Linked DNA regions of Schizosaccharomyces pombe. The protein of the gene in region 1 interacts with the protein of each later gene in a pairwise test. Each region holds a gene or a part of one and is shown on either strand. Other genes may lie near its edges. The genes, in order: ssm4 and jnm1.

Region 1 (16,233 bases):
GATGCCAATCCTGAATTAAGCTTGCTCTTGGATTACAATCTTGCACGTTGTGAAGAAGAATTGGGTAACACTTCTGTAGCTAGTGAAGCGTATGTTTCGATTCTCGAAAAACATCCATCTTTTATTGATGCCCGTATTCGCAAATGTTTACTTCAGTTATCCAATCCTAACGAGGAAACGTTTAAAGAAATTCGTCATATCATGAACGCAGATTCTCAAAATTTAGAGGTTCGAGCATTTTTTGGTTGGTATTTGAGTAAACAAAAGCGTCGCCCAGTAGAAGATCCTGAAGTTAGACACTGCTCTCAGACCCTTAGACATTGGCACGATGACATTTACTCCCTAGTTCAACTCGGTAATGCCTATATGAGACAGGCAAGAGAGTTTCGTGTACATAATGATCGTGAAAAGTTAAAAAGGCAAAAACTTTACATCAAAGCTATTCAGTCTTATGATCAAGCTATTAAATTTGATCCAAAAAACGCACACGCTGCCCAGGGTATTGCCATTATATTAGCACAAAACAGGCAATTTTCTAAAGCTCTACTTATTTTGAGTAAGGTTCGTGAAGCAATTAAGGATGCTACAACACTCATAAACATTGGCAATTGCCTTGCAGAACTCAAACAGTTCAGTCGTGCTATTGAGGTATTTGAAACCGTGTATTCTAGTACCGGAGAAAGTGATACTTATGGTGTATTGAGCTGTTTAGGCCGAGTTTGGCTACAGCGTGGTCGCGAAAGCAAAAACGTCGACTATTTAAAAGAATCCGTGCGATATGCTACATTAGCTTTAGAAAAAAATCCCGAGAATCCAAGCCTTTTATTTAACGTTGCCTTTGTACAATTCCAGCTATGTGAGCTCATCCGTCAGAAACCCGAGAACAGTAGAACTGTTGAGGATCTGAACTTTGCAATGCAACAGCTTGACGCATCGATTGAAACTTTTACCAAACTGGTGTCTGTCGAACATCCACCCTATTCTCCTACCAGTATTGAACAACGTGCAAAGATGGCTAAAAATACTACTAAGCGTCAATTGGAGCGCGCTATTCAAGCGCAAATCGAATATGAGAAGAGTGTTGCTGCCAAACTTGAAGATGCTAGGATTCAAAGGGAAAAGGAGAAGGCTCGAAGATTGGCAGAGGAAGAAGCTTTACTTAAGGAAAAGCAAGAACGTGAGAGGCAACTTCAGGAAGAGCGACAAAAGATGCAAGAAGAAGTTTTGGAGTGGAGAAAGAGTCAGCAGAAGGCTTCTGAAGATGATATGAGCTTGTCTGATGACGAAGAAAAACAGTCAGGCAAGAAGAAAAAGAAAGATCGAAAAAAGCGTAAATCTAAATCGAAACAGGAATCCTCGGATAGCGGAGTAAGCGAAGATGATGAAATACCATTGAGCGATGCCAGAAATAAAACTAAAAAACGTCGTGTTAATAGAAGAGTCATATCCGAAGAGTATACTTTTGACCAGGATAGTGACGCGGAGGGAAATCAAGAAGAGGAGGTTTCTCGTACTATCGAAGAAAAGCAGGATAACGATATCACAGACAATCAAGATGACAATAAAGAGTTAAATCTATTCTCTGAAGAGGATGAAGAATAATAATTATGCTCATTGCTGTTTGAATTATGCCGTTCAGATAAGAATTTTCTTATTTCAATGGCATATTAACTTTCTCCCTTCAGTTATTTGTTGTCTGTCATATATATGATTTATGATCTCGTGTAATAATATCATTTAAATTAATTTTTTGTATACAAAAGCTCTTGTCATTCATTTACGCTTTTTAGACTAGATTTGTTTTTTTCTATCCACCCTTTCAAAAAGAACTAATAGGTTTATTCACCCAAGAATCGTTTCATTCTACTTAAATAACATTAACATGCGTGTTAAAAGTGATTTGAACATTGGTGATTAACATGCTCAACTGTGCAACATAGTGATGATTTTAGCGCGCCTGTATTGCAAACATTGTTCCCCCCTCCCCACACTAATCTCACAGTTTCTAACCATTTTATCAAGTACTTTCTGAGCCTTTCTTTTTTTTCAAATGAGTTATTTGTCCGTCGGGGATGAAGTCCTCATCCGTGGAGAATTAGGAATAGTTCGATTTGCCGGTAGTACTGATTTTGAAAGTGGTATTTGGTTAGGCGTAGAATTGTTAAATGGAAAAGGAAAAAATGATGGAAGCGTAAAAGGGAAACGATATTTTTCATGTGAGAAAGGAAAAGGGATATTTGTACGCGCATGCTCTTCGAATGTGATGAAAAGACCAAGTGTCGTCAAGTCAAGGAAAAAAGGATCAGAAAACATATCAAATTTTATGGAAAAAACTAAAGCAATTAAACAAAAATCACGTAGGGAGCCCTCAAAATTTGAAAGATCATTGGCACGCCCATTGTGCATTACACCTATTGATTCGTCTACTCCCACAAAGACAGCTACGTTTTATACTTCATCTACAACTGAAAATCTAGATGAGCTAAATTTTTCAACAGAAGAATTATCAAGTTTTGACACTACTTTGTTAAACTCAGATACGAGCAAATTGTCTGGGCTTGACGATAGTAGTTTTATGGAAGAGGAATTTGTATGGCAAGTTGACAACGTTTTGCAGGAATGTGAAAAAAAATTTACTCCTCATTCAAAGGGAAGTTATTTAAAAGAGAATTTAAAGTCAGAATTAAGGAAGGGTCGTTTGGATGAATTGATGTGTGAAAATACCGCCTTAAAAGAAAAAATTGATAAATTAAATAAGGAATTAGAGAAAGTTGAACCTCAGTTGACATTCCTTCGCAGTAAAAACAGTATTGAAAAACCTCGGAATTTTAGGCGTGAAAAGTTTCTCAAAAAATTCTTGGCTATGCAGAAAGAAATAAAGTATCTAAGAAAGCGAAAGTTGCAAATTCGAAAGATTCCTAATTATAAGTACTCTGATCGAAGTTTGAATTCCAAAACTCCTAAAAGCCAGGACAACTGGACTACACAAGTTACACCATCTAGTCTCCTTGGGGTCTCAGAGGTTTCTAAGGTTTTGCAATTAAAACAGGTTCAGGTCGACATAACTGAGCTTGTAAAAATTCCTAAAAACCCGTTTTCTGAGAAATTGACAATATCTAACGTGAATAGATACTTAAATATTGTACCGGGAAGTTTGGATTTACAATTTTCATTAACAAATGAAAATTTTGTACATTGGAATAGCACAGTTTATCAAGAATTATTAAACTTAAAGTCCAACAACTCTTCAGTGGATGGTGTGAAGACAAGAAGGCAACTGTTGGAGGAAAATGCTTTGTTGTCTCATAAAGTATTAAAACTAACAGAAGAAATTCAAGACTTGGAAACTTTGAATCAGCTAAACACTGAAATAGAAGCAAGACAATCGGAAAAGTTAAATGAGGTGCAAGAGGAAACTCAAAGGCTATCTCAGTTACTAATATCTTCTCAACCTGCTTTGACAGAAGTTAAACATTTGAAACTATGCTTATCAGACTCTCAAGAGGAATTATTGCAATTAAATGCAAAACTTGAGAAAGCAAATATTGTAATAGACGAGTTAAACAGTGCAAAATTGAAACTATCAAAACAAGTGGAGGAGGAAAGTAGTATGAAAGACGACCTTACAGAAATGAACCAACGTTTAAAAGAACAAATTGAATCATACGAGAATGAAGTTAACTCTGAAATCACTTCTAGAACATTGAAAGAATTTGAAACATTAAAGACACAGTATGAGAAAAATCTTTGTAATTTAAGAGAACAGCTAAAGACCGCAAGGATGAAACTGGCCGATAAATATCCACAAGGTGACAATACTAGTGAAAATATAGACTGGCTCAAACACAGTTTACGGGATTCTAATACTGAAAACTCAATTCCAAGCCCATTGACCTTTGCCTGCAAGGAGATAAGAAAATTAGTTGCAGATATTAAACCCGTTTCAGTAGAAAAGCAGCTGGCCTTGAATTGGAAAAAAGATATCGAGCGACCCAGTTTTCATCACAATCAACAGCTATTTAATTATTGTCAGTTAACAGACATTCTTTCCAAAAAATGCTAATCTTTTAATGAGATATATAATTCAATTTATTAATAGCCGCCGAAAATTAGCTTCTAATCTTAACTGCCATATTTTAACGAATTTATCATTAATGTACTGTATGGTGTTGCTTTAAGTTTAAGATCGACTTGTAACCTCTTTTGTGACCTGTTATGCATTAACGAAATATGGGGTTGAGTATTTGATTGGTTCATGTTTGTATTAAACTAACGTACTTTTGGCCAATTAGATCGACTTTGAAGATTAATTGTCGACGTGAGAATCATGTAAATAAACAAGTTTACTTACCCTAAACCAACCACTTTAAGAGTGGGAAACTGCTTGTTTCACATTGCACGGTAGCGATATTATTTTTTTTTGTTACCTTTTTTCTATTAAAGCGTATCAAGCGTTTCTTCACCTTCTTGCAGAGAAAGGGTTAGAAAATGGAAATCGACCAAAACCTTTTCCAGTTTCCCATTTCGACTCGTGATGCTGTTCACGAGAAAAATTGTACTTTAAGAGTTAAATCTACAAAAAAAAGAAGAAGCTCTACGAAAGATGAAGAAACGCGTGGTATGCATCCCCATATAAAGAGTTCGTTTAGGAACGGAATGAACCATGCACGTGTCATTAGGGAAGAAGATATGGAAGTAGTATTTGAACCATGTTTCATTAATCTTTCCAAACCCGTTTACGTTGTAAATGGTATCGGTGGAATAAATGAAATTCATAAATTACCTATACTATTCTCTTCATTTGTTCTCTGTTTCTTTGGTAATGTCAGCGGTGATTATGGTTATGTTGACAACGTCCCACTTCACATATCTGTCATTAGTCACTTTTATCCATGTCTGCAATCCTACAACACAGATGTGATTGGTATCACTACTGATACGGTTGAAAATATATGTCAATGGAAAGCCCATCTGCCTCGTGCTCTACAATTTTCATTACCAGTTATTTCGGATTCTAACAATGAAATTTGTAGAGAGATGGGAATGCTGCATCCTCTTGGAGGAGCAAAATTAGCTTTGGATGCAATTGTAATTATAGATTCCATAGGGCGTCGACGCGACATCCTTCCCATTCGTACTACCACTTGTGTATCTACTTTAATAACAGCAGTTCAAGAAACTGTTCGATTTTTGGCAATTGAAAATGGAAGGTTGCTTTAAAAGCCTTCTATGATGATCACTCGTTCAAAAAAAAAATGACAAACAAAAATTTTTTTACGTTTCAGCAAAAGTTGATGATATTGTCACACATAAAACCACAAAACATGGGTTCAATGGAATAGAAAATACTTTCTATAAATACATATATATATATTTAATATTTCACAAAATAAATTACAATGTACCATAAATTATGCTGTCAAAAATTTACGATAAGGTACGGATGGGTATTTATTAAATTTTTCAAAAAAAAAAAAAAAAAAAGTGTAAGGAATAATTTATTAAACTATGATATCTTTAACAAAAAAAATCAATGAACCAATAAATTAAATAAATAAAAAAGTCAACTCTGATTATCAAATTATAAACATCACCGATATCAATTTCAATCAGTCAATAAATAATTTGGCATATTCTTTTTGAAGCATTTACTTTTTCAGAACAAAGCCAAGCTGATAGATTTTAGTTTAAATTCCTCTATTCAAATAAAAATGACAGTGCAGGCTTCTATAGTATTATTTTGTTCAAACAAAAGTAATCAAAATTTGAGTAATAAAAAAAATGCAAAAATTAAAAATAATCAAATATTCTCTCCCTCCGGGATTCGAACCCGGGCTGCAAGCGTGACAGGCTTGTGTACTACCCCTATACTAAAGGAGATCGTTGTAAACTAATCTTTATAATTATATATATTTAAGAAATATAATTATATGATATAATTACAGTTGGTTTATTCTTGTGTAAACCTACCAAAATTAATTTTGGACATTTGAAGCATAAAAATATTGAAACTATTAGTCTTCTAGATGTTGGTTTATAATATTTTTATCGAAATCGTTCAAACAATTTCATGCTAGTGAATTGAGATCTTAGTTGCAAAAGTGTCAGTAAATCAAACTATATCAGGAATTGCTTAATAGAATAACCATGCTTAGTAGATAAATCAATGTAAAGGATAAAATAGCTCTGACGTCAATGCTATAAGCGCGCTTTTTCACGCCCTCGTTTTTTCATCCCAACCGAGCATAACAGAACATATACGGAATAGTGAAGCATACCAGTTCAATTAATAACGAGGTAGTGCGTCTGCTGCAGCGCAGCAGCTTGGGGTTCGCTACTCTAAACTAGATTTCATCGGTATTTGGATAAAGCACAGCCACCTAGCGATTTTGGCTTAATCACAGCATGAATCAACTTCCAAGACAGCAATTGTTAATTTACTATATATAGTCATGTAAAAAGAAAACGAAAGAAAGAAAATACACAATTGTAAGTAAAGAAACACAATCATCATCCTTTGCTACGAGAGACGCGTTTTAAATCAAACGGGAGACAGCTGGTCAAAGGGTTTTCTGTTTAGAGAAACATGAGAAAGCCGTATTATTGAAGGAGGAGCTATTTTTAATTTAGTTTTAAAAATTTCTTTGAACATTTGCTTTCTAAGTTAAATACCAACGGGAGATTCGAATGATACCAGCCTTTGTTTGGATTTCTTTCAAAACAAATTCAGTTTCCTTGTTTTTTGTTCAAGCTCGTTAAATTTACACAGTCATTCACCTTGGATTACCGTATTAACAATAAAGAATCCCTACAAAGTCTTTATTCATATCTATCGTGCGTTGATGCATTTCATTATTGAAAATCAGGATTTTCTAATTTGAAGGTGAAAATGCATCATCAACCCCACCCAATAACACCGATGATCACATGCCGGTGCGCAGCAGATATCCGGAGTTTTCGGAGTCTTGTGCGGAGTCTTTGCGGCCGGTGTCAAGCGTACACGGAATGAAGGAATTTTTCCGAATACTCCGACTATGATGACCGAAAGGTGATTAAATCATCGGTATATGCAATTTACCTTACGAAACATCGTACTAATCCATTAGATAATTAAGAAGCTAAGGAAAAAGTTGTACGGGAAAAAATCCTAGTTGTTAAATTTCTCAATTTCCCTCTGTTCAAATCTGTTTTCCCACACTACTGTGAAAACATTGCGCTAGCTTTCAAAGTTATTCACATGTCGATGAAGCTTACGCAAAAGTACTTGTATGACATCTTGTGCGGTTCGCTAGCCTCTAATAAGCGTTTAAAGTGATCACGTTAAAAAACCGCCTTTAAAATGTAAACGGAACGTGGGTACTGTCTGTATGGTGGAAGTGCGACCAATATTACCTCTGCATCGCCAACAGTCGGACTTTCTTGTATGCGCTGACCATTTATTATGTAAATCATTCACCTCGCCTTAAAAATATATTACTACTCCTCATTTTAATTACCGTGTATGATTCTACATGCAATTTTTGTTTCTGCGCTTTTCCCTACACATGACAAAAGTTTTCATGACTGCGGATCATGAGTTACGTTTTACCGAAGTAAATTCTTGATATTGTCGAACTTAAGTTTGGAAAATTTTTGATATATAAAGAGATGAAAATCCTTTTAATATCGCCAACAAATCTAATTGCATTCATTTGTAATAATCTTCGAAGCCTTACTAAACAAAGTAAATAAGTCTTCATCAATTCCCTTTAATCTCTCATTATAATTATTATTATTATATTAACAAAACCTCCATATCTTTGCGAGGACTTTTTGGTTTATAAAAAACAGTTAATTAATTGGCATCTATTCATTGAAAATCTTGGATTTTTATTACACGCACCATGAAGTTTTCTTCGATTCCCATTGCTTCCACATTACTCTCTTTGCTCGTTGCCTCCAGTGTGACAGCTTCCCCATTGCGTAGACGCGATGACCCTTTGAACGGCAGACAATTTGGTCTTTTGGCTCTTCACTCCGGCAATGAATACGTCCATTTGCACGGATTTTATGTTGGAGATTCTGGTTCTGTTTACTTGGACCCCGCTGATGGCACTGATGACGCTGCCACCTTTACTATGTCTAATGGACAACTATCTGTTGGTAATCGCTATGCTTCCGTGAGCGCCAATGGTGAAATAGTTTTCAAATCTGATACTAATTCTACTTCTTCTGGATTCAGTGTCGGTGAGGCTATTAGTTCCGGATATAGCTTAAAATATAATGGAACTGAATCCGCCGTTGCTTGTCCTTCTCTCGTCAATAACCAGGTTTATCAGGTATTCTTTGGAGTTGGAAACGGTAACCCTAGTTGTGTAGGTATTGCTGTTTTGGCTGTTTTGCCTCAACCCATCTCTTCATCTTCCACTTATAATAGTACTACCTCTTCCTATCATAATTCTACCTCTACTCCACCTCCTACTATCACTTCCACTAAGGCCTCTACCGTTACATCTACCGAAGCCACCACTGTTACGACCACCACAGCTGTCACCGTTACGGCTACTGAAACCTACACAGTAACAGCCACGAACGGAGGCTCCACTATCACTTCCACCGGAGCTTCCACTGTTACATCCACTCAGCCCTCTACCGTTACTTCTACCCAACGTAAAAACACTGCCACTACTACTAAAACTACCACATATGTTGGACCCAGTCCTTCTGCTTCTAGCGTCGTTGCTTATACCACCAAGTGTATTGTTGTCCCTGTTATCACCACTGCCGCTAGCCAAAGTGAAGCTGCAACTCCATCACCTTCTGCTGCTGTATATCCTTTGTTCCCCCATGGCATTCGTTTAATTGATTCGACTAAGCCTGAAGCTAACTCCGGTAATGTTTACTCACCCGTCGTCTTTCAGAAGCAAAACAATCATACCAACACGATTTTCACATTTGATGTTCCTCAAGTTTCCGGTAGTTGCGAACTTAACTTCCATCTCGATACTAGCGGTTTCCCCATCACTGTTGAAGGTGTTAATGGCACTGGCCGATTCATTCTCTTCAACCTCTCCTCCGTTGCCAACGATTCTACTGTCTACTCCAACCGTCCCAACCGCATTGCCGAAATTGGACGTTTCAACTGCTCTAGCTCTGGTTGCGATTATGCTACCAATGTTACATGCCCCGACTCTTATACTGCGGTCTCTTATGAAATGATGGCTCTCACTGATGACTCTTATTTGAGTTTCTTTGAAGAAGCCGATCCTCTTGAGGGATTAACTTTACGAGTTTAAAGTATTATGAACTCCAGCTTGCATTGTTTAGTTTACTTAATTAATATTAAATCTTTAAACCCTTGTCTCTCCATTTTTTTCTTGTGCTTGTTTCCGGCATAGCAGAGTCTAGTATTTGATAGACAGGTTGTATTGTAGGCGAGACTTTAGCGATGCTTGTTTTATGATTGATATAATGCCTTAAAATTAGAAATGCTACAACTCTAATATGTCAGCAACTTTACGCTGTGTTGCAAATCACTAATTTTATATGTTAAAATACTAGTTGAGATCCGCTTATCGATAATAACGGAAGACCTGTTTCTATTACTAAAATACCCGTTTAATTAGATATTAGACAGAACTACTGTAAGTAGAGCTCAAACTTTTCTTGTATGTCAGTTCCGGCATGAGGCAGTTATAAGTAGAGACATAATGTAACAATAATGATAGTATCTGTTACTCGTACATTTTACATATCGCTTGCTATACATGAGTAAATTTCAAAAAAAACTCATCTCTAACCTACCGTTTGCTGCCTTTTTTAAGGATTTGAGAAATGCAGTAAGAGTTTTCTTTGCCGATTCATAATATTACAATAAGCAAATAAATGAGGGAGTAGCTTGCTATATGTATTCTAATATATAAGTTAAATTGTTACCTATCACTAAAATAACTTATAACTGAGCTTCATACTTCAAATTTAGTCATAGTTCTCAGTTCTATTTACAACTTACCTAGTAATTTTGTTAACGATTTTTCAATGCACATAGAATTTTGATAATCTGCAATTACCGGTTCGGGGATCTAATTAATATTTACCATATGTCATTAGTAGTACGTAGTTGTTAGCTACGCAGTTTAGTATTTATTTAACGACACATTGAACTACAGTTAGTTATATATTAGAACATTAGTTAAGATCCGTTTATTAATAATTGTAGCTATTTATTCATCTATCCACATAAATTTCACATTCATAGCTGCTATTAGAAAGATTATAAATAGAGCTACAACTGAATCTCGTTCCTCAGTTTCACTTACTAGCTAGCTATATCTGTGACTGCTTCTAGTAGACTCATTAAAACAATGAATATAACACTGTTATTTAAACATACCGCATACCCCTACATCAAGTTGCAAGAAGCCATATAGGAACACATAACGCAGCTCAGTAAATTGACCGCAATATGGGATAACATAGAGTAGTGCAGTATTATCAATATTACCGCAATTTACCGTTAGTTCTCGATAAACTACCGGAAGTGGTTTCTTATAATGTTGTATGCAGGGATTTAGTGAATATTACGTAGAGTATTATTTTAAAAAGGTTTCAGCAACTGTACCAGAATAGCTAGGCTGAATACCAATTTGGGAAAATTCACTTGACTGGGTTTCTAATCATAAACATACGGTTAATTGTATCAATAGAAGTTATGATTAATATTTTTCCGTAAATACCCTTGGAATTGTATGACATATATTGATTTGCTAAGTAAAGCAATAAGTAGCGTACTGCAATTTTGCCGATATGAAAAACTGCACATGTTTATTACATAATTACTGCCATTCGGAAGCGCCGTGTAAAGCGGATTATTTGAACCGGGTTTTTTTCATAGAATATTCTTAAATTTTATCGAACTAAAATTCTAGAATAATGTTCATTATTATAAATATAAGCACGATGCTTGGCAAATAATTGTTGGTAACACTTAAAGAAATATCTGATACGAAAAAAGGAATTCTTACTTTGGTTGACAATAAGTGATTAATCTTCTTCAGTTTGATCAATCTTATTGCAATATCTAGAAATTCCTCCAATTTTTTAGTTATTATTAAAAGTTTCAATTAAAAAAAAAAACATTCATTTGCTTTGACTTTCTTGCATTTTTGTTTAACTTACGTTATGAAGCTTACTTCAATCCCCATTGCTTCCACATTGCTCTCTTTGCTCGCTGCCTCGGGCACATTAGCTTCACCGTTGCATAAGCGTGATGACCCTTTGAACAACAAGCAATTTGGCCTAATGTCTATTCATTCTGGCAACAGTTATGTCCACTTGCACCCTTTCTATGTAGGAGACTCTGGCGCTATTTACCTGGATCCTACTGATGGTACCAGTACTAGTGCTGTCTTTTCTATGAGTAACGGAAGACTGGTTGTCGGAAATCTTTACGCTTCGGTTGACAGCAATGGCACCACTATTTTCAAATCTGATGCTAATGCAGCTTCCACTAAGTTCAGTGCTGGTGATGCTACTAATGTTGGATACAATCTTCTATATAATGGAACCCAATCTGCGGTAGCTTGTCCTGCTAGTGATAATGATCAGGTCTACCAAGTATACTTCGGAGCCGGAAATGGTAACCCCAATTGTGCAGGTATTGCTATTGAGGCCTTCGTGTCTCCATCCTCTTCTTCTTCTTCTTCTAGTTCAGCTGCTACTTCAACTTCAACTCGCGTTTCATCGTCTGCTAAAGCAAGCACTTCTAGTGGGGCAATTGCTTACACCACCAAATGTGTTGTTGTTCCTGTTACAGCATCGGCTACTGCCACGGCAAAAGCTGCATCCGCAGCAGCTTCCTCAGCTGTTTACCCTCTTTTCCCACATGGAATTCGTTTGATCGATTCTGCTAACCCCAGTTCCAACTCCGGTAATGTTTACTCTCCAGTCGTCTTTCAGAAGCAAAACAATCATACCAACACGATTTTCACATTTGATGTTCCTCAAGTTTCCGGCAGTTGCGAACTCAACCTACATCTCGATACTAGCGGTTTCCCCATCACTGTTGAAGGTGTTAATGGCACTGGCCGATTCATTCTCTTCAACCTCTCCTCCGTTGCCAACGATTCTACTGTCTACTCCAACCGTCCCAACCGCATTGCCGAAATTGGACGTTTCAACTGCTCTAGCTCTGGTTGCGATTATGCTACCAATGTTACATGCCCCGACTCTTATACTGCGGTCTCTTATGAAATGATGGCTCTCACTGATGACTCTTATTTGAGTTTCTTTGAAGAAGCCGATCCTCTTGAGGGATTAACTTTACGAGTTTAAAGTATTATGAACTCCAGCTTGCATTGTTTAGTTTACTTAATTAATATTAAATCTTTAAACCCTTGTCTCTCCATTTTTTTCTTGTGCTTGTTTCCGGCATAGCAGAGTCTAGTATTTGATAGACAGGTTGTATTGTAGGCGAGACTTTAGCGATGCTTGTTTTATGATTGATATAATGCCTTAAAATTAGAAATGCTACAACTCTAATATGTCAGCAACTTTACGCTGTGTTGCAAATCACTAATTTTATATGTTAAAATACTAGTTGAGATCCGCTTATCGATAATAACGGAAGACCTGTTTCTATTACTAAAATACCCGTTTAATTAGATATTAGACAGAACTACTGTAAGTAGAGCTCAAACTTTTCTTGTATGTCAGTTCCGGCATGAGGCAGTTATAAGTAGAGACATAATGTAACAATAATGATAGTATCTGTTACTCGTACATTTTACATATCGCTTGCTATACATGAGTAAATTTCAAAAAAAACTCATCTCTAACCTACCGTTTGCTGCCTTTTTTAAGGATTTGAGAAATGCAGTAAGAGTTTTCTTTGCCGATTCATAATATTACAATAAGCAAATAAATGAGGGAGTAGCTTGCTATATGTATTCTAATATATAAGTTAAATTGTTACCTATCACTAAAATAACTTATAACTGAGCTTCATACTTCAAATTTAGTCATAGTTCTCAGTTCTATTTACAACTTACCTAGTAATTTTGTTAACGATTTTTCAATGCACATAGAATTTTGATAATCTGCAATTACCGGTTCGGGGATCTAATTAATATTTACCATATGTCATTAGTAGTACGTAGTTGTTAGCTACGCAGTTTAGTATTTATTTAACGACACATTGAACTACAGTTAGTTATATATTAGAACATTAGTTAAGATCCGTTTATTAATAATTGTAGCTATTTATTCATCTATCCACATAAATTTCACATTCATAGCTGCTATTAGAAAGATTATAAATAGAGCTACAACTGAATCTCGTTCCTCAGTTTCACTTACTAGCTAGCTATATCTGTGACTGCTTCTAGTAGACTCATTAAAACAATGAATATAACACTGTTATTTAAACATACCGCATACCCCTACATCAAGTTGCAAGAAGCCATATAGGAACACATAACGCAGCTCAGTAAATTGACCGCAATATGGGATAACATAGAGTAGTGCAGTATTATCAATATTACCGCAATTTACCGTTAGTTCTCGATAAACTACCGGAAGTGGTTTCTTATAATGTTGTATGCAGGGATTTAGTGAATATTACGTAGAGTATTATTTTAAAAAGGTTTCAGCAACTGTACCAGAATAGCTAGGCTGAATACCAATTTGGGAAAATTCACTTGACTGGGTTTCTAATCATAAACATACGGTTAATTGTATCAATAGAAGTTATGATTAATATTTTTCCGTAAATACCCTTGGAATTGTATGACATATATTGATTTGCTAAGTAAAGCAATAAGTAGCGTACTGCAATTTTGCCGATATGAAAAACTGCACATGTTTATTACATAATTACTGCCATTCGGAAGCGCCGTGTAAAGCGGATTATTTGAACCGGGTTTTTTTCATAGAATATTCTTAAATTTTATCGAACTAAAATTCTAGAATAATGTTCATTATTATAAATATAAGCACGATGCTTGGCAAATAATTGTTGGTAACACTTAAAGAAATATCTGATACGAAAAAAGGAATTCTTACTTTGGTTGACAATAAGTGATTAATCTTCTTCAGTTTGATCAATCTTATTGCAATATCTAGAAATTCCTCCAATTTTTTAGTTATTATTAAAAGTTTCAATTAAAAAAAAAAACATTCATTTGCTTTGACTTTCTTGCATTTTTGTTTAACTTACGTTATGAAGCTTACTTCAATCCCCATTGCTTCCACATTGCTCTCTTTGCTCGCTGCCTCGGGCACATTAGCTTCACCGTTGCATAAGCGTGATGACCCTTTGAACAACAAGCAATTTGGCCTAATGTCTATTCATTCTGGCAACAGTTATGTCCACTTGCACCCTTTCTATGTAGGAGACTCTGGCGCTATTTACCTGGATCCTACTGATGGTACCAGTACTAGTGCTGTCTTTTCTATGAGTAACGGAAGACTGGTTGTCGGAAATCTTTACGCTTCGGTTGACAGCAATGGCACCACTATTTTCAAATCTGATGCTAATGCAGCTTCCACTAAGTTCAGTGCTGGTGATGCTACTAATGTTGGATACAATCTTCTATATAATGGAACCCAATCTGCGGTAGCTTGTCCTGCTAGTGATAATGATCAGGTCTACCAAGTATACTTCGGAGCCGGAAATGGTAACCCCAATTGTGCAGGTATTGCTATTGAGGCCTTCGTGTCTCCATCCTCTTCTTCTTCTTCTTCTAGTTCAGCTGCTACTTCAACTTCAACTCGCGTTTCATCGTCTGCTAAAGCAAGCACTTCTAGTGGGGCAATTGCTTACACCACCAAATGTGTTGTTGTTCCTGTTACAGCATCGGCTACTGCCACGGCAAAAGCTGCATCCGCAGCAGCTTCCTCAGCTGTTTACCCTCTTTTCCCACATGGAATTCGTTTGATCGATTCTGCTAACCCCAGTTCCAACTCCGGTAATGTTTACTCTCCAGTCGTCTTTCAGAAGCAAAACAATCATACCAACACGATTTTCACATTTGATGTTCCTCAAGTTTCCGGCAGTTGCGAACTCAACCTACATCTCGATACTAGCGGTTTCCCAATCACTGTTGAAGGCAGCAATGGTGTTGGTCAATTCATTCTTTTCAACCTCTCCTCCGTCGCCAACGATTCTACTGTTTACTCCAACCGTCCAAACCGCATTGCCGAAATTGGACGTTTCAACTGCTCTAGCTCTGGTTGCGATTATGCTACCAACGTTACATGCCCCAACTCATACACCGCGGTTTCTTATGAAATGATGGCTCTCACTGATGACTCTTATTTGAGTTTCTTCGAAGAAGCCGATCCTCTTGAGGGATTAACTTTACGAGTTTAAATTTAACTTATTGAGAAATCAAGAAGCATTATCTAGTTTAACTTCATTAGCATTTAAATTCATTACTTTTCTTTCCTTTATGAGTAATAATTTCCAGTAATCTTTGGGTAGACGCTATTGTTAAATGGAAAAATCTATTCAAGGGCCACCGATTATGTTGTACCATTTACCTAAGTAGACTCAGTGTATGCTGTATTTATTTTTGCTCACCTAATGTACCTTTAATATTTTTCTATATATTACCACTAATTATACGGCATTCGAAAGCGTTATTTGTACGAGCAAATTTGCGTTTTTTAACCAAGCAACCGCCGATAAAGGCGATATAGCAAAAAAAATTTACGTACTCAAAAATATGACTGATAAAACTGATATTATAAATTTCGATAGTTTAGCAAGGGATTATCCCGACTTGAGATCTTTGTAGGGCGTTCTCAATGCCAATTTATATACTAATTGAACGTAGCGTCAAAAATGGTCGCATTGATTTTTGGAACGAAGATGCTATTCGGTTGGTAAACTCACATATGTTAAACGATTGCTTACCTATAAATTAGTACGTTAGGAAAAGCAATTCTGGATCGGGATTATTCTCTTCGTGTTGAATTTCCTGAGAATCGTCTATGTCCAATGGTAAGAGATGTGTAGCATCACCAATGTTTCTTTTAAACAAACATTTCCCTTCTCTCATAAATGCTAATTCATTTAAAGGTTCCAAACCGGTATATTAACACATTGTTTATTCATCATTTATAACCAACTTTTCAGAGCCACTTATATAAGATATATTCATGACCTGTTGTCAAGTACATCTGGGCAAAAGGATAAAAAAAGAATCATTGGTTTGGATATTGGTACCGGCGCTAGTTGTATATACCCATTAT
Region 2 (15,340 bases), on another chromosome or scaffold:
TTACCATGGTTTGTGTCCGGAGATTCTTCTGAAGAAGCCGTGGACGCGCCTTTGGATGTGAAGGATGACACCGGCAATAAGGATTACTATAAAGATTCTACTGGTGCCTACCACTTTGATAAATTAATTGTGACCCCGTTGGAGTACAGAGATGGAGAAAGCTGGAAACAATCTGTCATTTACTGCGACCTCATATTTGCGAAAGAAAACAAAGAAGAAAAAGGTTCTTTTGTCAAAGCGCAACTGAAAGAGGATGCCGAACATCCTTTTATTTACAGACTGCTTAAACTCCAAACACCGTTAGAAACTTATCGTGGATTTATCGATGGAAAAAATACAGAGATTCTTGATGAGATTAAATCAATAAACTTATTCGAGGATTTTCTCAGTGAGTCTCTAGTCCCCGAAATCTCTCCATCAGTTAATATACCCATTGATGAAACTGCATTGTATTGTTTTATCGGAATTCAAGAAACTGAGCCAATTCGTATTCCTTGGCCTGTTTTGACAGTCGAATTTTATGGGGATGCACCTCCTCCGGAGTCTTATTTTCGTACCATAAAATCCACCTTATTAGCGATATCGATGTTTTTAGGATTCATTACACTAACATGGTTGTTGCGTTGTATTAAAAGTCAGTCCGGGGTTCAACCTGCTCAAATTTCCCTTGCATTTTGGGTTTTTATCTTTGTGTTTACCCATTCATATCAGGTGTACTCAATGGTTGCCATCGGAAGGGGTTCCTTTTCAACATGGTACGTAGTTTCCTTTTTATTCTCACTCGTCTTTGAAGAAGGATTGGAACAATCTGCATATACATCATTTTTATTGGTATTGTGTTTTGGCTTGGGAATCACGAAGCCTGCTTTAGTGAAGTACTATGTTTACCTAGCCTTTGTAGCCTTCGTTCAAGGTTTGTTTGTCACGTTTGCACCCCTCTCCTATCCCGTGATGTCCTTTTATGGGGTTCGAGGAATCCTCCTCAAGCTAATTTGGAATATCTATACTTTTGTTTACTATGGATTGCCATTCTTTGCAGTTTACCGACTGTACAAGCAGGCTGGTGAATCAAGGAAACTTGGATTTGAGGCCAAGTACTCTCTTTTGAGGACTTGCTATATTGCATTAGCTGCTGTGACCGTAAGTAATTGCCTATTTTTGGGAGTTGTTCGTCCCTTACTTGGCAGTCAACTTTCACTTGGCTTCCAACTGATAACTTCCTGCATCACGTTTGTTGACTTCTTGGTTTTTGCTTTTCTCTTTGATTGCTCAAAATTTGTCTTCCTAAAATATCAGCCGATCCCCTTTGAATGGTATGCACTGGAATCGATGGAATCCCTTAACCTTGAACCAGCGCCCGATCGTAAAGTGTAAAAAAGCTTTTTGATAATCAGTTTTATATTAGGTCGAGAAAACGGTAGCTGTGTGCGAAAATTTAATCCTTGAAAAATGGTTACTTAATATTTTTTATTTTACTTTTGTGGTGACAGTTCTTACATTTTCTTGATTTTCTTAATTGCACATTCCCATGAGACGCCATTTCTTGATTTTAATACTTGTCTTTTTAAATTGCTTTTTTCAATTACTATATCTTTATCCAGATTTTTTACACTATATACTCTTTCATGCTATTATAACTTTACAAATACTTCCATCCTTTATATTTTTTGCTAACACAATCCCATTTTCTATACATATAAATACGATTCAGCTATATTGAATTCGTACAACTACCTCCTTGATGATTTTTGCTACATTTTTTCTACTTTATGCCTTTTTTGATGATGATTTTGAATATATTGACACTTTGCTAAATAATTAAACAAGCTTCTCTTGATATCCTGCATCCATTTCAAATAGTATCACTTGAAATGTTACATAATTTTAACCATGAGCATCAGCAAGAAGCGACAATGTTTCTAATGCACATACCATTTATCGATTTAGTAATGAGAAAAGTTAAGTTTGTTAAATAGCGATAGAACACTAAACGACAGTAAAGATAATTGCATGCACTCTGTGTTATTATGGAATACCCTATATATCAGTATACCAATCACGCAATCGGGTTGAACTGTTGAATAGTTTCTGGCATGTATTTGTTTCTCTCTACCTTTTACCAAAACGGAAGTTGGAATGGAAGTTCGTATGTATGTCTGAAAACGTAGCTGTTTCATTCCGTTTAAACTAAGACTTCCTTAAGCCAAATAAGCAGTAAATGCTCAAACATATGAAATATTCTTTAAACCCCTAAAAAAAGAAGATCTAATACGTAAACCTTGTGTTCTCTTACTACATTCAGACACGCATTTTTAAATTTGATGAAATTAATGTGTTTGTGAGCAAACTATAGTCATGTGAATGTACGGAGATGATATGGCACGATGATTGTGGACGTAGGTATCCAATATTGTGTGGGAAGTAAATTCAAAAAGGGGCGTCTAGGGGAATGATTAAACGTTTAAACCACGTACAGGAAATCGGAACACTGTATAGGATGTTAACTGTTTTGAGTATCACTAGTTCTGAAACTTGCAAGGAGAATATGTTTATTAGATGATACAGATGTCGTTCAAGATGTTAAAGCTTTAAATCTTTGCTTATGATTAGCTCTATGTCACCCCTGTATTTTGCTTGTGGTTCGTATGATTCTGTACAGCTCATCGATGAAGGGTAGTGGAGTCTTGTAGATATTGGGTACTACTGACGATAGTATCCCGAAGCAGTTTTGACCTTTCGACGGCAATTGTAGTTTGCATCAATAGCGATTCGAGTGGATGGATCGCCTATTATTGTGAGTTGTTTATTAGATGATGTACAGTTCGCATTAAAGATAGGCGGTATGTGTCGTGAAATGTGCGGAAGTTTGTGGAATTTCATGTTTAAAGGGGTTCTCAAGGGTTAGTCGAGAAGTCGTATTTCTTGCTAATATTTCATCAAACGGGCTAGATGTGACAACTGTTCGTTATCGTATGTTTGTCTTTCTCACTATATTGATGTGTTATCAAACTTACTGGTAACTTAGTTGTTGGCGTTACCTAAACATATTGCCATATTGCAGTAGACGTTTGTGTTATTAGCTGAATTTTTCAAATGTTTACATCGTTTACTCGTTCAGTACCCAGTGGTTAGCTATAAAAGTTATTTTGCTAGCCTCATCTGACTAAACAGAGGAAAAACGCTATATTACATTTGTCTATCGATTCGTATACGTTTCCATCAGTAAAATCGAGCATATAATCGGCAGCATAAAAATCGCAAAAGGGGTCAGGGATATTGGTCGTTCTCGCTCGTCTAATGTTATCTGTTTATTGTAGCGATTATCAAACATTTTTTACAATTAGGAAGCTTCAAAAAGTACATAAATGACCATCTACTGCCTGATAATCATTGTTAGTTTGTTTGCCAATTTCTAGGTCTTAATACTCGTCCTAAAAATTTAATTTTGCAACATCTGTTTTTGTACACCTTTTATTGAATTTTGGTATCACTGTTTCTTATTAAGAAGAAAAGATTTGTTCTTCGCTTCATATCTGTATCTACTATACTCTCATATTGCCTATTTTATCTTCCTAAATTTTATCTTCCATGACCATCACTATGCCCAGCGATTGTAAATATTCTGTCGATACCGAATTGGTACATGTTGAAGGCAATGAAGACCAGTATCATGCGTCTTCAGTCCCAATTTATCAATCAGCTACCTTTAAACAGCCATGCTTAGAGCATATGGGCAAATTTGATTACACTCGTTCCGGTAATCCTACTCGCTCTGTTCTTCAAGTGCACTTGGCTAAACTTATGAAGGCGAAACATGCTTTTGTAACTAGCAATGGTATGTCCGCTTTAGACATGATTTTACGCTGCTGCAAGTCTAATAGCCATGTCGTTGCTGGCCACGATCTATATGGTGGCTCTGATCGCTTACTCTCTTTTAACCAAAGGCAATATGGATTTAAAGTGGATAACGTTGATACTTCTGACTTGGCAGCCTTTGAGGCAGCTTTGCGCCCAGACACAAACTTGGTTTTGATTGAAAGTCCTACTAATCCCCGTATCAGCATTTGTGATATTCGGGCTATTGTTAAAATAACTCGTTCAAAAGCCAAGGATGCCTTATTGGTAATGGACAATACTATGCTTTCTCCTGTCCTTTGTAACCCTTTGGACTTTGGTTATGATATAGTTTACGAGTCGGCCACAAAGTATCTCTCAGGTCATCACGATTTAATGGGTGGTGTCATTGCCACAAAAAGCGATGAGATTGCTAAATCTGTGTTTTTTAACATCAACGCAATGGGTGCTGCTATGGCTCCCTTCGAATGTTTCCTTCTGTTGCGCGGTATTAAAACGATGGGATTGCGTGTTGAACGTGCACAGCAGAATGCAATAGAAATTGCCAAATTCTTAAAGAGCAAGGGACTTCAGGTCAACTTCCCTGGATTAGACCCTGACGCTAAGTCAACCGCAATCTTTTACTCCTTTGCACGTGGACCAGGTGCTGTAATGTCTGTTTTTACTGGCGACGTTGAAGTCTCTAAAACTATTGTAAACACTACTAAGCTCTTTGAAATATCGGTTTCGTTTGGTGCTGTTAACTCTTTGATCAGTATGCCCGCTTATATGAGTCATGCTTCTATCAAGAAGGAGGTTCGAGACGCTCGGGGATTGAGTGAAGATTTGATTCGCATCTGTGTCGGCATCGAAAACGTCGATGATCTCAAGGCTGACCTCGAAAATGCCCTTGCTCAAGCAAATTTTAAACAGAATTGATTTCGTCTATGAAGGCATAGTGGTATTCACAACTAAGCTGGAGAAAGGGTTGCTTAAGTTACTAGTTGTGGTGCATATAGAATTTTAAATCATCAAATATTAAAATGATCGAAGTTTTGCTTAAAAACATCGCTTCATCCCTACTTACATATGTGTAAATTTTAATGGAAAATATTATTGAGATATTGACCGTATATAAATTATAATTAGTAATTGGCATTAGCCTACGCTTCCTAAGATGAAGCAAAAGCATTTTGAGTAACATTAGTCCTCGAATTACTAGGGATGATCCAAGTCTACAAAGAAACCAATCCAAACGTTTGAAATGTACTTTGAAATAGAAGATAAATTAATGTGTTAATGAATGTCATAAAAAACGTGAGAAACCCTGTTTGAAACGCCTATTTCAGGTACTTACTGGCATAGTACGGAAAACCAATAGAGAAGGAAATACACACAACAGCGGAGATAATTCGAGAAATAGGATGTTTTTTGTATTTAAGTTCTCTGGTTGGTGGAAGAAAACTCTTTAGATTTGAAATACCAAAACCTTTACCGTCATCCTGCATGTCATTTTGTGCCTGAAATACGAAACTATTTCTTTTTATTGATGGTTTGGTAGTGTTTTCACCGGGCAACATCCAATTTATTTTTTCACTGTGCAATTCAATGTCACGAACGTTTCCAAAGAAGTCCGTTATTAAAATGTCATCCGGGCTTCTTCGTAAGTTGATGGGTTGGACACCAGGTGTAGAATGAATTTCATACGGATTATAGGAGTTGATCAAATCCTGCATAGTCAATTTGCTTTTACTATCAACCCTATTTTCTAAGAATTCCAAATTAGAAAAGGTGAAGCGATCGATCACTGCAACTCCAATATCGATATCAGCATGATGGGAATAAGAAGAAGTTCCCACTTCACTGCTACCAATTGCCAAGACGTTTGGCGAATAGATTTTTGTATACAAAGAATTTGCCTGGCATGTATCTACCATAAATAGGATTTCATTGTATCTCTTGTGTTGATGTATTTGCTCAATTGCATCAGCAAGGTCCTCAGAACTCAATTCTTCAGCATCTTGAAATTTAATAAAACCATCGCCTCCATGACCTGTCATATAAATTAGGATATTAGATCTTTCGTTTGTCAATAATCGTTTGCTGGCTGGTGTATTTTCAGGGACTCTCTCTGTCAACAATCTGATAAACGCTTCAACAGTAACTTCATAGCCCTTATAATCAATTTCAATTTCTTCTCCATACAAATCTAATGCTCTATCTGCATTATCAAAAACTGTTCCTGGAAACAAATTTCGAGAGTTGCAAGCGTAGTCGTCAGCTATCATCAATATAATTTGACTGTCTGGGATTCCAAGACGCTTGACTGATCTGTATATTCCTAAAACATTCGCAGTATGTCTGTAGTTGAACCAAAAACGCGAGGTAGAAATTAAGACGGCCCAATTATTTGTATGCGAACTTTCTGCAGCTATTATTTGCAGCAAATTGAGCAGCAAAAGTGCCACAAACTGAACAATCATTAAGAATGCTACTCTTCAGTTGTTGAAATTAAATAAACATAAAGCCGTTTAGTAGTATCACGTTTATACAACTTTGTGACAAAGCGTAATGTTTGAGCACGATATTAGCATGTAAAGTTTTTACACGTTAATTCAGTAAACGATTCCTGCAAATAATTCAAAAAAAAATTATCAAGCCCTTTTATTGGTATATGCAGATGTAAAGTTCGACTTTGTTGTGCTTACTCGCTTACCTACTATGGTGCTCCCTTGCTAACCTGCACTTGCTTGCGACTAGAACTGTATTTTATCGAAGTAATAGTGCTCACTATAAAACATCAAGAAATTTATTCTATAAGAAAACACCTATTATTTAAGGAACTGAAACCAAATAAAACCCCTAAACCATCGATTACTCCCGAAAAATATCAAACGTGTAAGCATATGATCTGAGATACGCCTTTAAGCAATTTCGTTTACTGATAGTAATTAAAAAAGATGAAAGAAATGATTAATCTAGACAGCTCCTCTGAACCCAGCATCGTTACAAAACAATTCTCTGTAGAAGAATGCTTGAGTAAACTTAAAGAGCAACATTGCTATGTACCGATGAGAACAATTGGTCGACTAAGACTCAGGAAATCTTCCGATCAAACTGAAAAAAAATGTTGGAAAGAGAAACTAATGAAAATTCGCAGCGAACTTGAAGAATTATGGGAGCAGTCGATGATGTACGAAGAACAGAAGGAACTTACTCAATTAGGGGAAATGTTGGATAGATTGTGGGATAAACACATAAACAGTGAAGGGTCAAAGTCAGAAACTATCAGTGACACTGCCATTAGTGGTAATGATGATACTATGGAAAAGAGACTTGAACAATTTTCAGATGACACTTTGCAAGATACCCTGGAAACGGAAAAAAATCTTAACAGTAAAACTTCTGAGTCCTTGAAGTCACCAACTCTCTCATATCCGTTCGATTTGGATAGCCTTGACAAACGGATATTCAAACTAGAATCAAAAATAGGGTATGCTGATGAACCGCTTAGCGAGCTTTTAAACAAATGTATGGAAAAACTTGAAATTGTTGAGCAGGATCCTCAATTTTGGCAATCCCGAATTGAATCATGGAAGCAATTACTTGCTAAAGATTTTTTGAAACACCATGAAAGAAATCTTTGTTCAATAGAGAAACAAACGACTTTAAAAAACTCTTCGTTAAAGGAATTGTGTACGGAAGAAGATATTGTTATCATGTTAGAGATTTGTTCTTCCCAACTTCCCTTCGTTGAACAGTATATGCCCATATTACCATTGTTGTTAGAACGGCTAAAGTCTTTACAGAATATGCACACCGATGCGGCTGAAGCAATTAGCAGTTGGCAGGGTTCAAAAGATGTAATGATGACTATGCAGTCTGAGTTGAACGAATGGAAAAATACAGTTGAACGCCTTGATCATTCAAAATTTTACACACAAAGCGTAGAAGAGATGAGGAGATTATCTGACACTGTCACACAGCTTGAAAAACGCGTTTTAAAATTGCAATAGGATAGTGCTATTGAATTTTTACGCTGCATTTCTTTGTTCTGAAGTTTTTGGACGTAAGTCTTGAACGTTAAGGAATGAGAGTAAACAAAAATTTCCTAATTTCCTATATCAAAGAAAAATTTATTTGCGATAGTATCAGAAGCTTCGTACAATTTCTGTTTTTGTTACTATATGCGTTTCATCGAGTATGCAAATAATTACATTTATTTCAGGAATATTGAAACCTAATTACTTCACAAAAAGCAATATACTTTTCACTAACCTTTGCTTCTTGTTCAAATACAGAATTGTCATAGATTTATTTGAAGTAGCTAGTTGCGTTCTACCGACCACCAGAAATTACCATTCGGTTCGCTTTCATGTAGCAGGATGCGAATTTTGGGTTCCTTACCAAATAATATAAGAAAATGTACATTTAAGTTAATTCTACAAAAACGATATTCCCATACCGACATACTTAAGGAACTACTGTACGATATAAGTGATTCACAGAAATTTATACCTTCGGCATCTCCCATCGCGTCTAACTTATTACGGGTATCTTCTTATGGAAAATTATCCTCCTTGTTTATTGAATATTCTAAAGCACGTTCAAAAAAAGAGTTTGACCAACTCAGAACTTCGGATTTTCAATCAATATTACGGTCCGTTGTTTGTCCCAAAAATGGAAAAAACATCCGACATCGTGATCGTGATTTAGTTTCTTTACAAATTAAGCTAATCCTTCAAGATGCTGATCGTTTGGGAATTCAATTTAACATTGTTGACTATACCCATATTTTACGGGTTGCAATGTATACTGGGAACAAGCATATACTTGAATATATAGTAGCAAGAGTAAAGGAGAAAAGAATCCGCCCAAGTGTCGATTACTTTAATGCAATTCTCGGTGTAATTGGGGGAAACAGATGGTCGCTTTCTAAATTCCAGAGTCCTGCTTTTAGAGGATCACCGGTAACGGAACCTGTCTCTGGTAAAATGCTTGATATGATTGAAGTCGATTTTCCAAATTACGATTTGGTACCTAATTCTACTACATATGATTATCTGATGGTGGGTTTATCTCGAGATGGAAAGATTCGAGAGATTTACGATCTTATAGATACCGTTTGGGGGATAAACGAAAATTCATCTAGTAAAAAAGTTGACTGTGGAAACGTTACATTTCCTACACATCATACAGTATTTTCAATCATTTCTGCATTAGGATATTTAGGTGATGTCTCAAGTGCAGTATCTCTGTCAAGGAAGCTTACTTCTGTTTATAAAATTAATTTTCCTGAGTTAGCCTGGCGCTACATAATATATTGGTCCATTGCATCTTTACAATTTAGAGCTCCAGCTGGTCATGCACGAATAAAAAATATTGAGCTTTTCATTCGTTTGTACTCTCAAATGTATAGGCATTGTGTTCCAATAATTGAGATATACGATACATCAATTAAATTTTATATGAAGCATGGGCGATTCGGGTTGCTAGAAAAAGTCTGTGAGAGTTGGACTAAACAATTTCTAGGATCATTGGAAAAGCAAAACAACGAAGTCAAGAAAAAACATTTACAACTTCTCGAAAAGCAAATATCGAAATTGATGAGATATGCAGAAACTGAACGACCTCATGATACTAAACGAGTTTCGGTTAAGTGGTCAAACGTGTTGAACCAAATTCATTCATCCGTAGGAGATCCTGCTAAACCTTGATGATCTATCCATTCACACTGTACATTCCTTATTAAAAATTTATCCCTTCTTTTTTCTTATATTTATTTCTCTGCTTCTGGAATTTGAGCAAATCCGTAAATAACGGTGTCTAATGTCATTTAGTAAGTCTAAAAGTGTCTAGGCATGCATTTTCTTTAAAGGTTTTAGAGGACTATCGAAAATTGGTTCTAATCGCAAGTTAGGGAATGTTGATGTTAAAAGTTCTGGTTTTTTGTTATGACGAATAATATGTTATCCTTTGACAAATATTATATCGATATTAATTAATGTGCCCTTTTTAGTAATCAAAGAACTCCAGAATTGTTGTACTTGTTAAGTTACTTAAAAAAAATTTAAGTAAAATTTTTTTGCTAGCATCTTAAAAAACTAAAGATTCAATGTCTTGTTGTGCATCACAATTTCTGAGTACATAACTACTGATGCTTGAGGGCTCTAATTTTCAAGCTAAATCAATAAATTTGTAAAGACTATTAAGGTCGTCATGATTTTTTAAGACTCTTAACACTATTTAATTGCCTACCGACGCATTAAAATGCTCTTTCGTGAACTAACAAAGACTTGGGTCTTTTTTGTTCAAATAAGCTACACTTCAAATGCTAGTTTTTTAAGAAAATTTATGGAGATTCTACTTTCAAAATTATTTATCTTGCAGATTTAGAATGTTCGAATTAGGCAGATTAGTTATATTCAATGCATAGGATGAATCATAAAAGTTGCTTCACTTTGATATTATTTAATATAGCTTCATTTGTTTGAGTTCGATATATTAAGATACAGATTGCTCTTTTTTATCATATTAACAAAGGTTGAAAAGAGGTCTTGATTGTAATGGTTTAAAATTTAAAATAACTAACATATGTAATTTTCCATACATCAAACATGTTTTACCTTAGGGGTTGCTATATTTAGTTTACCCAATTCAACTATATGCTTTATCTCAAATTTAATAAAATCGATGATGATTATTATGCTAACTGCCACAAGCGGTTAGAAGAGATATGACTCAAATATCGCAAGTGTAAAATGGACATTTAGGAGTTTTTGCTGACTTGATAAAAATATTCATACGAGTAAACAAAGGACTGGCACGCCTACATAATGTTGAGACGAGTGATTAATATGGTTTGGTTAATTAGGTGTATTATGAATGAAAGAAGTACTGAAAGTGAAATAGAGAAGCAACTGAAATTCACAGCTTTCTCTTTAAGAACGAACGAAAAAATGACAAAAAAGCTAAAAGAAACATATAAGTGCAGCAGAAAGCTGTCCATCCCTAAAATTACGGGTAAAGAATATTAAGGAAAAGGGGATCTAGGCGTTCTCTCTCGACTAGCAGTAAACGAAAGTCTGTCTGCGAGAACATGGCTTGAAGTGGTACGTATCGGGGGTCCATGCCACTTAGAGGGACTGCTCATTTCTAAATCATCAGAAAAATCTGCTATATCCTCATAACTTCCATTTGCAGACATAATGTACGGAGCCTTGCGACGTTGCAAGCGCAGAAGGAATTTTTTGAAACGTTGGCGCCTTTTCGGATCATACCCGAACAAAACCAAAGAGAACAGAAAGAATAAGCAGAAAATAAATGAAAGAATAAAGAACAATTTATTAGGAAATAACCTCATCCAATGTTTTGAAGGGGATGCGATTAGCTTTCCGTATGGGTCCATATAATAATTAGCATATTCCGGTTTTGCTAGAAGTTGCTGATTTGATGCATAAAGCAATACTTGGCCTAAGGTCCAGCTCACTTCGGTGCGTTCTATTTTTTCTAAACTCGTGAATGGAGAATGGTACGCAGGAATTACCGAGAGCCCATCCTTTGCATCATTACTACTTGTATTTGACTTGGGAACGTCGAATCCTTCATGAAGGACATTCAACGCCCATGATGCTTTAAAACAAAGCTTTTCAAGCTTGTTTTCATCAGTACTTGGAGTCAGCTCTTTATTATAAAGACGGGAAAGCATGGTTTCCCACTCTGTACCACAATACTCGTCAACTTTTTTGTAAAAATTAGGGAAATGATAGCTACCGCCCATATCAAACACATCATTAGTCGTATACCAAAATTCCGAGACCCCAACAAATTCAGTATTTGCAAAATCAACAGGAGGAATAGATATTCCATCAAAGTTACAAGGGTCCATGGAGCATGGCTTGTCTTTATTTAATAGATTGTAAGTCAGTTTCAAGCATTGTTTCAAATCTCCAGTACCGGCAAATTCGATCCCATCGATATCATAAGTTCGTCCACGCAAGGAACACGGATCGCTTAAAGTGTTGCCAACTTTTCCGTTTTCGCTTTCTATTAACAGTCCCAAATACCTGCGGTAAGCTTCATTAGCGCCAAAACCGAGCCAGGTAGTAACAAACAAAGGATATTCCAATTGCTGACCATTTTGTAGTCCTATGTGAACGGTCGAAATACTATCCTTGTAATTTTTGAGCTGAGATGGGGGAAGTTCAAAAGCAATTTGCACACTCGCACCGCCCATATCTAAAAAACCAACCGTTGACGTATCTTTTTCTTCAAGTGTCTTAAGGAGATAGTTCGTAGCTAGCCAACCATACATACCTTCAGCTTTGCCATCAATTACACGGATTGAATTTGAGCAATTAGGTATGTCGAAATCGTAATTCTTTTTAATATATCTACAAGCATGCGAAAGTATTTTGTTTTGGGCATCAACGCCCAGTAAACGCATACCAGCTGTAGCACTTAGGAAAACCGGAGTTTCTTTATGTACATCTTTGGGAATAGCATGAGCAGCAAAATCCAGGAGTTCTTTCAAATGCTTCTTCCCTACATGCTTAGGGTTATTGGCAAAGGAAGAAATTCCAGGTTGAACCTTTAAAGACCATTTACCACCATCCCCAATCCCTGTCTCGATTAATGGTAATTTTTTTACTTTATCACTTAAAGAGGAATCGGTATCATAGTCCCAAGAATAAATTAGAAGTCTTGAACCACTAGATCCAGCGTCGATGAAAATTCCATACTTTCGAACCATTTTTAGCCACCTGCACTTATTTTTCTTAACAAAATGTCTCTTTGTCTATAAGACTGGATATTAAATAACTTCGACTCTGAAGATGGATATTTTCATCAAACCAGCCCAATTTGCCTTTTGTTTGTTGATGGTTGAAAGCGCACTATGGCGATGTGAACAATTTCAATATGGCATATGTTCCCAAGATATACATCAATAAAATTCAGTTAAATATATGTATCTGTCTTATCAATGAACCTCTATTTAACTTAATTGAAACATTGAATGAACGTTTGTAGTGGATTATGAACATTCAACTCAATGTTTAACAACTAGCGAATGTATAGGTAGCACATTTTTAGGTGGTAAATCACTATATAGTGAACTCTGTCAAAATGCAAAAAAAGTAAATTGAGACGAATTTAAGGACCCATTCATACGGACTATTGGAATAATCACATTAATTTTGGTCACTTGACTTAAAAGATAATGCGACTAGAATTAAAGAGAAAAATCGAATACGCGAAAACTTTTTGATTTGTCTCTTTAATTTGCTTAGATGTCAAATACTGTTAGTACCAACAGATTGACAATGTTTTGATAACAATCATCAACAATTTACTTCAGAACTGTTTTAATAGAGAAAATAATTGTATCCTTCAAATTTCAACGGTTTAACACTGTTTAAGATTTAAAATGTCATTTACTTACAAGTATTTCATGCACTTTGCTTTAAGATCACAGTAACGGTTCTTCGTAGAGATATTTGACGGCTTTCAGTTCGCATTCTATATTAACTTGTGTTTTAAAGTTTTGATTGAGAGAACGTTTATCCCATTTGACGAACATTTAGATAATTGATCAGTTATCTAGACGGGAGAAATGAAAAATATTTAAACTCGTATGAACAATAAATAACACAAATGCAATGCATCCAAAAAAAATTATAAAATCCATTTACAAACCATAACCATATCACATAACACGAAAACGAGTAGAATTTTAATCCAATTCAATACTCAGAAACTTAGAGGTTTTTTAATTGTCTAAAAATCCAAAGATTTAACAGGCTGTTTTTGAGGATTCGTGTTTGAAATCTTCGTATCCTTTTGCTCATCATCCAGTGGAGGAAGGACCCATGGTTCAATGGTAAATCTTCTTTTCGATACAGTAAATGAGAGGTCTCCAGCTTCATTAGAGTTTGCATGATTGGTAAATGGAAGTGCTAAGGGAAGCTTATGGATACGGAAAAGTCCTAATGGTTGTGTAACTAAACCGTTAACAGTTTCTTTGACCGGGAAAGGATGCAAAGAGAATACGGCGGATGCAAGGTTTTCTAGCCAAAAAATTTGCTCGCAATCTCTTGAAAACAAAGTAGAAGGAACTGAACACATACATATCAAGTGCACCGAAGTAGTGCATTTGATGAGCGATGAAAGTGTGTGAATAAATCTTATGAAATGCTGCGGATGAGTAGCACGGATAGAATAGAAGGCTGGGGACAAAATGGATGGAAGAACTAACCTGCATACCGTACCTGGAGTCAGAGTAGATAAGAATCTCGTTAGACTTTCAATGACAGGGGCGTAAGGATTAGACCCTGTTTCCAAAGGGAATGGAGAAACAGCGTATTTCATATCGCTTTTCACTATCAAATTCTTTGACAAATCAAAGGAGTGAGTATAGCCAGGAGGAATCATATCAAGGGTCGGTGCCTTGGTTTTGGAGACTTGTTCATACCTCCAGGCAATTTTCATTCTTTCTTGCTGGGGATTTTTAGAGGGAGGAGAAGAATGATTATCCTCTCCAGCTGAATTTTCGTTTTTATTAGGCCGGTCGCTGTCGCCTGGAAGTTGACGAAACCACATCTCTCCAATAGATGGACCAAGCCAAATAACATGGTCCTGTTTAAGGCCTTCCGCTGCAAAAAATTTAAGTAGCACAGAAGCATAATCCATCGAATCTTCCTCTATAACCAGCAAACTTTTCATTGGAATGCCGCCAGACAAATAGTAGTCAAAAGAAGAACTCCCAGAGCTTGTAATCCATCTAGCATCCTTTGAAGATAGTCTAACGCCTGTCGGCAAGTTTGTTGGTGCTATTTGAGGTGCTGCTTTCCTTTTGAACGACATCAATACTTATTTCGATTGGTGTACGTGGAATAGCAAATTGGATGGAAAGGTTAACGCGACGCAAATTTGCAGCACACATTTAAGCATCATCAGTCAGAAAACAAAGAAATTCAGCGTTGCGATTGAGAAAATAAAAAATTGTTGACTAAAGTTAATCATTCAATAAAAATACCTTTTAGATAAATTTTGTTGAACTAATAATAAAATTTCACTAGTGGGCGCATTGAAACAAAAATAATATTGTAATACTACAAAATAACATAGAAAATGTTACGTCGTACAGTCAATTAGCATGATCGGAAAATGTATTACTGTTGTATTTTTGAAGATTACTTTCAATCCGAATCTAGTTGGACAAGACTTATGAGAAATTTAAGTCAACTCAAAGTACAATCTATTCATATTTTATTTTTAAGATCAGGAGAATCTGATTGCTAAAGATACAATTTAATTAGCTCTTCGCTTACCCCACTCTTCGAATCAATGATCCCTAAATCGGTAATGAGACCTGAGACAAATTCGGGTGGTGTAACATCCAAAGTAGGATTATTTCGAATTTGTTCTTCATTCATGATCAGCTCGTTATGAATAGCATCTGATGGAGTTGGAATTGGTTCAGGTTCAGGATGAACAGTTTCAGGAG

The links.
Region 2: the proteins of ssm4 (region 1) and jnm1 interact in a two-hybrid assay, tested with the Schizosaccharomyces pombe proteins (one study listed by BioGRID).

The regions. Positions count from the first base shown.
Region 1 is NC_003424.3:4,522,504-4,538,736, reverse strand, and holds ssm4 (dynactin microtubule-binding subunit, p150-Glued Ssm4), read left to right. Parts: upstream 1-2,000; 5' UTR 2,001-2,050; coding exon 2,051-4,063; downstream 4,064-16,233. Other genes in the region: RNA polymerase II-associated Paf1 complex subunit Tpr1, read left to right, coding at 1-1,602; thioredoxin family protein But1, read left to right, coding at 4,489-5,220; SPOM_SPAC27D7.11C (But2 family protein ), read left to right, coding at 7,884-9,275; SPOM_SPAC27D7.09C (But2 family protein ), read left to right, coding at 14,198-15,349; methyltransferase Mtl16, read left to right, coding at 15,787-15,860, 15,907-15,982, 16,061-16,071, 16,118-16,233. UniProt on the Schizosaccharomyces pombe protein: Binds to nuclear microtubules with the effect of either modifying their structure or function. This then promotes meiotic nuclear division.
Region 2 is NC_003421.2:1,449,642-1,464,981, forward strand, and holds jnm1 (dynactin complex subunit dynamitin), read left to right. Parts: upstream 1-6,571; 5' UTR 6,572-6,794; coding exon 6,795-7,850; 3' UTR 7,851-8,214; downstream 8,215-15,340. Other genes in the region: SPOM_SPCC61.05 (uncharacterized protein), read left to right, coding at 1-1,374; cbl1 (cystathionine beta-lyase), read left to right, coding at 3,601-4,773; gpi8 (pig-K), read right to left, coding at 5,175-6,317; PPR-repeat protein ppr6, read left to right, coding at 8,220-9,551; nucleoside diphosphatase Ynd1, read right to left, coding at 10,868-12,586; elongator complex subunit Elp4, read right to left, coding at 13,612-14,697; translation initiation factor eIF2B alpha subunit Gcn3, read right to left, coding at 15,132-15,340. UniProt on the Schizosaccharomyces pombe protein: Required for correct meiotic chromosome segregation.